Xenopus tropicalis: one gene and its partner. The protein of the gene in region 2 interacts with the protein of the main gene of each other region in a pairwise test. Links are inferred from orthologs where the notes say so. Each region holds a gene or a part of one and is shown on either strand. Other genes may lie near its edges.

The links. The genes of interacting proteins can lie anywhere in the genome.
Region 1: the proteins of ciao1 (region 2) and ciao2b interact in binary tests that used the Homo sapiens proteins (3 or more experiments, as listed by UniProt). The two-hybrid records come from large-scale screens. The link is inferred for Xenopus tropicalis from reciprocal best matches to the Homo sapiens genes CIAO1 and CIAO2B.

What each region holds. Positions count from the first base shown.
Region 1 is NC_030681.2:7,564,513-7,568,618, forward strand, and holds the start of ciao2b (mitotic spindle-associated MMXD complex subunit MIP18), read left to right. Parts: upstream 1-1,306; 5' UTR 1,307-1,334; coding exon 1,335-1,461; intron 1,462-3,830; coding exon 3,831-3,910; intron 3,911-4,038; coding exon 4,039-4,106.
Region 2 is NC_030679.2:125,065,746-125,070,005, forward strand, and holds the start of ciao1 (probable cytosolic iron-sulfur protein assembly protein ciao1), read left to right. Parts: upstream 1-1,460; 5' UTR 1,461-1,629; intron 1,630-2,580; 5' UTR 2,581-2,592; coding exon 2,593-2,731; intron 2,732-3,304; coding exon 3,305-3,453; intron 3,454-4,235; coding exon 4,236-4,260. UniProt on the Homo sapiens protein: Key component of the cytosolic iron-sulfur protein assembly (CIA) complex, a multiprotein complex that mediates the incorporation of iron-sulfur cluster into extramitochondrial Fe/S proteins.

The sequences.
Region 1 (4,106 bases), on a different chromosome or scaffold from region 2:
CTGGTAGAACATAGATGGGCCCGTGGGCAATGACTGGTAGAACATAGATGGGCCCGTGGGCAATGACTGGTAGAACGTAGATGGGCCCGTGGGCAATGACTGGTAGAACATAGATGGGCCCGTGGGGCAATGACTGGTAGAACATAGATGGGCCCGTGGGCAATGACTGGTAGAACATAGATGGGGCCCGTGGGCAATGACTGGTAGAACATAGATGGGCCCGTGGGCAATGACTGGTAGAACATAGATGGGCCCGTGGGCAATGACTGGTAGAACATAGATGGGCCCGTGGGCAATGACTGGTAGAACATAGATGGGCCCGTGGGCAATGACTGGTAGAACATAGATGGGCCCGTGGGCAATGACTGGTAGAACATAGATGGGCCCGTGGGCAGTGACTGGTAGAACGTAGATGGGCCCGTGGGCAATGACTGGTAGAACATAGATGGGCCCGTGGGCAATGACTGGTAGAACATAGATGGGCCCGTGGGCAATGACTGGTAGAACATAGATGGGCCGTGGGCAATGACTGGTAGAACATAGATGGGCCCGTGGGCAGTGACTGGTAGAACGTAGATGGGCCCGTGGGCAATGACTGGTAGAACATAGATGGGCCCGTGGGCAATGACTGGTAGAACATAGATGGGCCTGTGGGCAATGACTGGTAGAACGTAGATGGGCCCGTGGGCAGTAGGAAATATCCAGTAGAGAAGTGGCTATACCTTTGCTTGTTGCTATGATACTGTATGTTTAAGGTGGCTGAGTTGGCCGGGCAGGGGCTGATCCCCTAGTGATTCATTCATTCACTTATATTAATCCTAGCTGTAGGCTAATTGTTAGATACAAACTACATTACCCAGCATGCAGTGGGACAGGTGCGTCAGGTTTACCAGGTTTCCACACTACAAACCCGCCAAGGCTCCATAGAAACAGCCCAAATCTGTACCTTAGCGGGTTTGTACTTTGGAAACCCACCTGGGCTTTAGTTAGTAGCTCAATTGGGTGGAAAAGCCGCCAACCCGGTAACCCTGACGGTAGCACTTAGTGTAACCAAGCCAATAGCTAAGGCTTCCGGTTTCCGGGCTGAACCATACCAACCTATACATTCTGATTCTAATTTGCCAGGATAAAACATGGCGTTTTCCTTTTCCGCCCTTTTCCACACAGCCGGTGATTGGTAGGCATTGCAAACCAATCCAAGAGGCTCGGCCAGTGATTGGCCCGCTGCGGGTGAATCAGCCAATGGCAGGCGGAGGTGCCTATTGCCAGACGGAAACATTTCCCGCACGGCGTGGTGAGGGCGGAAGTGGTACGGTAGGAATAAGGGTCCGGGGATGGTGGGAGGGAGCCAGCTGGAGAACGCGAATCCGCTCATTTACCGGCGGGCGGGGGAGCGGCAGGTCACAGCGCAGGAGGAGGATGAGGACGCGCCGGACCGGATCGATGACCGGGAGATCTTTGATATCCTTCCGCGTATATGAGCCGTACCCATGGGCGTAGTGCCGGGCTCACCCCCTGCCTGTTCCCTAGCAACCGGGGGATAGAGCCCTCTCCCGATAATATCCGTGTCCTTCCTGCCCCTTGTATCCGCCTGTGCCCATGGGGGTAACTGCCTCGTACTGTTGCCTAATACCCCCCCCCCCCCAAATCTACTGCCCTGGGCTGTCATCCACTCAGCGCAGTCTTATCCCTATCTGCCCCAGCAACTGCCCCCTTCCTATACTGACCCTTCCCTATCTATCTGCCCCTTCCTATACTGACCCTTCCCTATCTATCTGCCCCAGCAACTGCCCCCTTCCTATACTGCCCCTTTCCTATCTATCTGCCCCAGCAACTGCCCCCTTCCTATACTGCCCCTTCCCTATCTATCTGCCCCAGCAACTGCCCCCTTCCTATACTGCCCCTTCCCTATCTATCTGCCCCAGCAACTGCCCCCTTCCTATACTGCCCCTTCCCTATCTATCTGCCCCAGCAACTGCCCCCTTCCTATACTGACCCTTCCGTATCTATCTGCCCCAGCAACTGACCCTTCCGTATCTATTTGCCCCAGCCCTATATATCTGCCCCAGAAACTAACCCTTTTATATATATTTGCCCTATTCCTTTACTGACCCTTCCCTATTTACCTGTCCCATCCCTATACTGACCCTTATCTATTTATTTGCCCCATCCTAATACTTGCACTTCCCTATCTATCTACCCCTGCAACTGCCCCATACCTAAACTGACCCTTCCCTATCTATCTGCCCCATACCTATACTGACCCTTCCCTATCTATCTGCCCCATACCTATACTGACCCTTCCCTATCTATCTGCCCCTGCAACTGCCCCTGCAACTGCCCCATACCTATACTGACCCTTCCCTATCTATCTGCCCCATACCTATACTGACCCTTCCCTATCTATCTGCCCCATACCTATACTGACCCTTCCCTATCTATCTGCCCCATACCTATACTGACCCTTCCCTATCTATCTGCCCCTTCCCTATCTATCTGCCCCATACCTATACTGACCCTTCCCTATCTATCTGCCCCATACCTATACTGCCCCCTTCCCTATCTATCTGCCCCATACCTATACTGCCCCTTCCCTATCTATCTGCCCCATACCTATACTGCCCCTTCCCTATCTATCTGCCCCATACCTATACTGACCCTTCCCTATCTATCTGCCCCATACCTATACTGACCCTTCCCTATCTATCTGCCCCTTCCCTATCTATCTGCCCCATACCTACACTGACCCTTCCCTATCTATCTGCCCCATACCTACACTGACCCTTCCCTATCTATCTGCCCCATACCTATACTGCCCCTTCCCTATCTATCTGCCCATACCTACACTGACCCTTCCCTATCTATCTGCCCCCATACCTATACTGACCCTTCCCTATCTATCTGCCCCATACCTACACTGACCCTTCCCTATCTATCTGCCCCATACCTATACTGACCCTTCCCTATCTATCTGCCCCTTCCCTATCTATCTGCCCCATACCTATACTGACCCTTCCCTATCTATCTGCCCCATACCTATACTGCCCCTTCCCTATCTATCTGCCCCATACCTATACTGCCCCTTCCCTATCTATCTGCCCCATACCTACACTGACCCTTCCCTATCTATCTGCCCCATACCTATACTGACCCTTCCCTATCTATCTGCCCCTTCCCTATCTATCTGCCCCATACCTATACTGACCCTTCCCTATCTATCTGCCCCATACCTATACTGACCCTTCCCTATCTATCTGCCCCATACCTATACTGACCCTTCCCTATCTATCTGCCCCTGTAACTGCCCCATACTTATACTGACCTTTTCATATACAGTATATCTGCCCTTGCAACTGCCCCTTCCCTATCCATTTGCCCCAACAATTGCCCAATCCCTTCACTCATTCTCCGATATCAGCCCCAAGCTCCAGCCTCTAACTGCCTCTCAACAACCTTCCACATTTATTGTAAAGGGCAAGTAGCACCAAAGCAAGTTTTTTGTTAATGAATTTAATATGCGGTTACCCAGCATTGCTAGTCATTGTGTATAAGGAATTCGCTGTGTAGCCGGGGGGCTGCCATTCATGTTCCAGCGGGGCCCCCCTGTATATTGGAGGTACAGGAGACGCTGTTTGCAATACAAATATTTCAGAACTTGAGCTGGGCTCATATAGGCACCAACTCAGGATGAAACTTGCTCCTATCAAATAAAACTGATACACATACTCCCAGTTATAATGTCACTGGCCCATTAACCCTTTGGTAGCTTGCATGTTCTACTTATTGAGTTTACTCCTTGCTTTCCCTTCCATTGCCCTTAATTCCGGTACATCTGATTCGCTGTATAAATGACCCGGAACACCCACTTACGCTGGAGGAACTAAACGTGGTTGAAGAAATTCGAGTGAAGGTGCAAATTGCTTGTTACCCTATGGCCCCCCCCCCCCCCCCCCCCAGTATAAGTAAATGTTATGTACTAACAGAAGAGCTAAATTCTCTTAGTGAATATCCCTATTACTGTGCGTGTTTGTTCCTCAGGTAAGTGATGAGGAGAGCACAGTGTCCGTCGAGTTTACCCCGACCATCCCGCACTGCAGTATGGCAAC
Region 2 (4,260 bases):
ACAACTGGCTGTACATGAATAGGTGTTGGCTAAGCAAGGAGGAAACAGTGAGAAAAACAAATCAGAATCTAAAGAAAAGCCATAATCATTAAAGGAACAGTAACACCAAAAAAGTGTATAAAAGGAACTACTACTACTGTATTCGCTTTAGAAACATTACTATAGTTTAGTAAATGAAGCTGCTGTGTAGCCCCGGGGGCAGCCATTTAAAAGAGAAAAGGCACAGGTTACATAGCAGATAACAGATAAGTTCTGTACAATACAATAGTGTTTTATCTGTTATCTGTTATGTAACCTGTGCCTTTTCTCCTTTTTCCAGCTTGAATGGCTGCCCCCATGGCTACACAGCAACTTTTTATATAAACTATAGAAGTGTTTCTAAAGCAAATGTGCAAATTTTACCAGTGCAGGGCAACAGTGCATTGTATTATGATTACTTAAAAACATTTTTATTTTTTGGTGTTACTGAGGGGTAAATGGCAAATCAGAAGAGGTGATGGGAACCCCTAAGCACACCCAGAACCCATTGGAGTACTAGCATTAGGAACCCCCTCCTGTCCCATTAGGGTCCCTGTGGATGACACCCCTGGGAGGGAACCAGAGGAGAATGTAGGGACCCCTATGTTCTTGTGCCCCCAGGCATTGCAGGATTGGTGCCACCCAGAGAAGTAATAAAGTTCAACCCAACCTTTCAGCTGTTGTGTGACTGGTTGTCCCTAATTAATTGTACAGCCAAAATATTTGTTACAAAGTTACACATTACCCCAAATAGATCAAGTCTCCTCTTAGCTCTAACCCATTGCCAGCAATAGAGCCCACTCTGAGCTGCAGCTTTATTGGCTAAGCACATTCTACCCACCCACTCGGGACAGAGCCGCCTCATAACAAAGGGGCTGCTGGGGGATACACCGAACAGCTGCGCCAAATCCGCATTGTACAACGCCAGGGAACGCGTCGGCGCTTTAGAAATAAAAGCTGCCAATAGACATGGCAGTATTACCGGTACAAGGGGCTGTATAGTTCTAGTTTACCCTAAGCTTGCCGAGTCACCCCTCCGAGACTCCAAACTCCAACCCAAGCGCTCTACTGTCAGCTACGGATTCTGGGACTTGTAGTTACCGGAGCCAAGATGTCAGGCAATACGGCGGCCTACTCTGATCTATTCCCTCTCTCCTCACGAACAGTAAAAGAGTTCAAAGGTGTCGATCCCAGGCGCCAAACCGATCGATTTACTCACCGCAGCTCCCGGTCCTTCTCTCCCCCAGGACCTCGAACCTCAGCACAGCTGACTTCCGCCTCCAAACTGCGTCATCATGACGTAACACCTTCCTTGTACCACAGAAGGGCATTCCGGGATGTGTAGTTTTTAACCAGCAGGAAGGAGCTGCGAGTTGTGCGCAGGCGCAACCCAGAGAAGCAGGAAGGAGCTGCGAGTTGTGCGCAGGCGCGGCCCAGAGAAGCAGGAAGGAGCTGCGAGTTATGCGCAGGCGCAGCCCGGAGAAGTAGGAAAGGCGGTGAGGGGAGACTAAAAGCGTAGAGAGAGGTGCTGGGGGGCTTCTTGGCGGCCGGGACTTTGGCCTTTAGTGGGCTAACTTTAAAAGCTGTGGCACTCATACAGCTCATATACACGTACGTACATACATATATATATACTTAGGTGCAGTATTCCTTCATAAATAAGTAATTGGGTTTAGCAGTGGCCCTGACACACGTGATGTGCATTGGTAGAACAAACACAGAATATCAAGTGGCCATAGTAGGGGCAGTGGGGCAGGGCCTCCTGCAGGTTGGGGCAAAAAGGGCATTTGCTGTGGGCCCCCCAGGGTGGAGGGGGAAGGAGATGAACATACAAAGCAAATACAGAGGTGACAACTAACCCCATGCCATGAGGGAGATAATGATCTACTCCAGGCCTTCTCAAGCCTTATTTCATGTTATCATTAAGTGTGAAGTAGGATTTAGGTTTATTATTAGAATTATTAGCTCCATTATGACATGGGGTTGGTTGACAGGGCAAGTAACCCATAGCAAGCAATTAGTAGGGACCAGTTTTAAAGCAGACATCTGATTGGTTGCTATGAGTTACTGCACTTGGGCAAACATTGCATTTTTTTAATATCTTTACACTCTTATTGGAGACTAGCCACACTGTCATGCTATAGATATTCATGGTCTAACGCTAACATCATTTCAATATGTAGAATAATTATACAACATTATTGTGCAAAAGTTGTTTCCAGTATATATATATAGAGGAGAGACTTGCAAAGTGCCCCTCTACTGTTCTTTCTGAACTGCATCTAATCTGTTATATGGGAAGCATTGCTTTTGTCCCTGGTTCAGACCTGCATTTGGTCAGATACCAATGGAATACCTGCAAAGCACCTAGGTTTTAGGTGGAAAGTCCCTGATTCCCTGGCCATGCTGGCATCAGATTTAGTTCAGGGAAGGAGCATAGCAAGTTTATCCAACCTGACTTGTCTCTGTCAGGATGATGGAAAATGTAGGTATGGGGTAAATACTGTAGGTAAGGAACTGGTATCTTGATGGTTAAGCATGCTTTTGTCTGTAATTTTGCAGAATAACCCCAAAATGAAGGACACCCTCACCCTCCTCTCTCGGGTTAGCGCTCACCCTGACTCCCGGTGCTGGTTTTTAGCATGGAATCCCTCTGGAACATTACTGGCTTCCTGCGGGGGAGATCGTACTATCCGGATCTGGGGCAAAGATGGTGAGTTTAGTGTATAGTTATGGAACTGTTACCTGGTACATAATCATTTCAGCAAGTTAAAACCTTAGGGGATGTTAGTGCCAATGACTAAGGCATAACTGCAAGGTGAACCAGGAGAGATAAGGGTTGCAGTTTGGATATTATTAATGGAAAATATGTTATCCCTTAAGTTTGGGGTGGCCCCTAAAATTAATTATTTGCAGAGTGCAGTAAGCCACCAACCACAGAGATATATGTGGCCCTAACCCAACAATCAGCCTGCAATGGAGCCACACAAGATAATTTTATACTAGATTATGTGAAAGCAGCCAAGTGCTTATTAGTTATCCTCTTAATCCAAGATTCAGTTCTGGATTCAGCCGTACCCCAACATGTTTTGCAGAATTTAGCCGAATGTTTAGTTTTCACCCAATGCCAAACCCTTACATTCATGTTACTTTAAAGCTCTAGGCAACCAACATTATTTTGTCAAAAGACAATGCCAATTTCCATCTGCTGCTAACTGATTTAGTATAGTAAAGCCTTCTTCTTGTGTATTATTAAGCTAAAATGTGTCTTTCTTTGGTTCTTCAGGGGACAACTGGGTATGCAAGTCAGTCCTCGGTGAAGGACATCAGCGCACGGTCCGGAAAGTTTCCTGGTCACCCTGTGGAAATTATTTGGCCTCTGCCAGTTTTGATGCCACCACTTGCATCTGGATGAAGAAGAAAGAGGAGTTTGAGGTAGGTAACAGAAGCAATGTAAAGGACTGAGTGCAGTAGTTAAGGATCTAGATACAAGGATTTCTTCTGTGACCTATTGTGTGCAAGAAGCTCTTCTCTTCTTTTGGGGTGGGGTGTTAATCGATGGGTGATTGGGTTATAAGATATCCTATTAATTGCAAATAGTGGCTTTGCGGGATGTTGGCAAAGAAGGAACCAAGTTCGCGAAAGGGCACCACATTGGCATTCTGTCAGTGTTAAGAAAAGAATACTTATTATGCCAGCCACCTGCCTGTTAACCAGTAAAACCAGAAATTCAAGGCTATGTGCTATTTCAAGGAAATATAGCAGGACACATTTATGGACTGTTTTTTTCAAAGTCCAGTAAAGGTTCTCTGTACTCCACATTTGTGTCCTGGACGTCCCCTGTGTGGTTACAGTGATACAAAGCAATATACACAGTATAATATTTCCCATTGTTACAATAAAAATGTCTTTATTACTTCTGCAGGGCTACTGTATTTCTAGAGGTACAGCAGTCCTTTGACAAGGAGGTATGGTCTGAAATTATTATCTTTATTCAGTTAGCAATGCTTTGTATTCTCATAGCATTAGCATTGACAGCCCCCTAAAGTTTTCAATAAACCTTCTAGAGATACCAAAAAAATTACAATTAGAATAGTTTGCTTTTTTCCAGTATAAAGCACAAATCAGCCGGAATGATTAAAAGTTATAGCGGCCCTCTAAACGATAGGATTATCAATGAACAGTAATAGTTTTATGTTTTTTTTTTTTTATTGTAGTGCATTACCACTCTGGAGGGACATG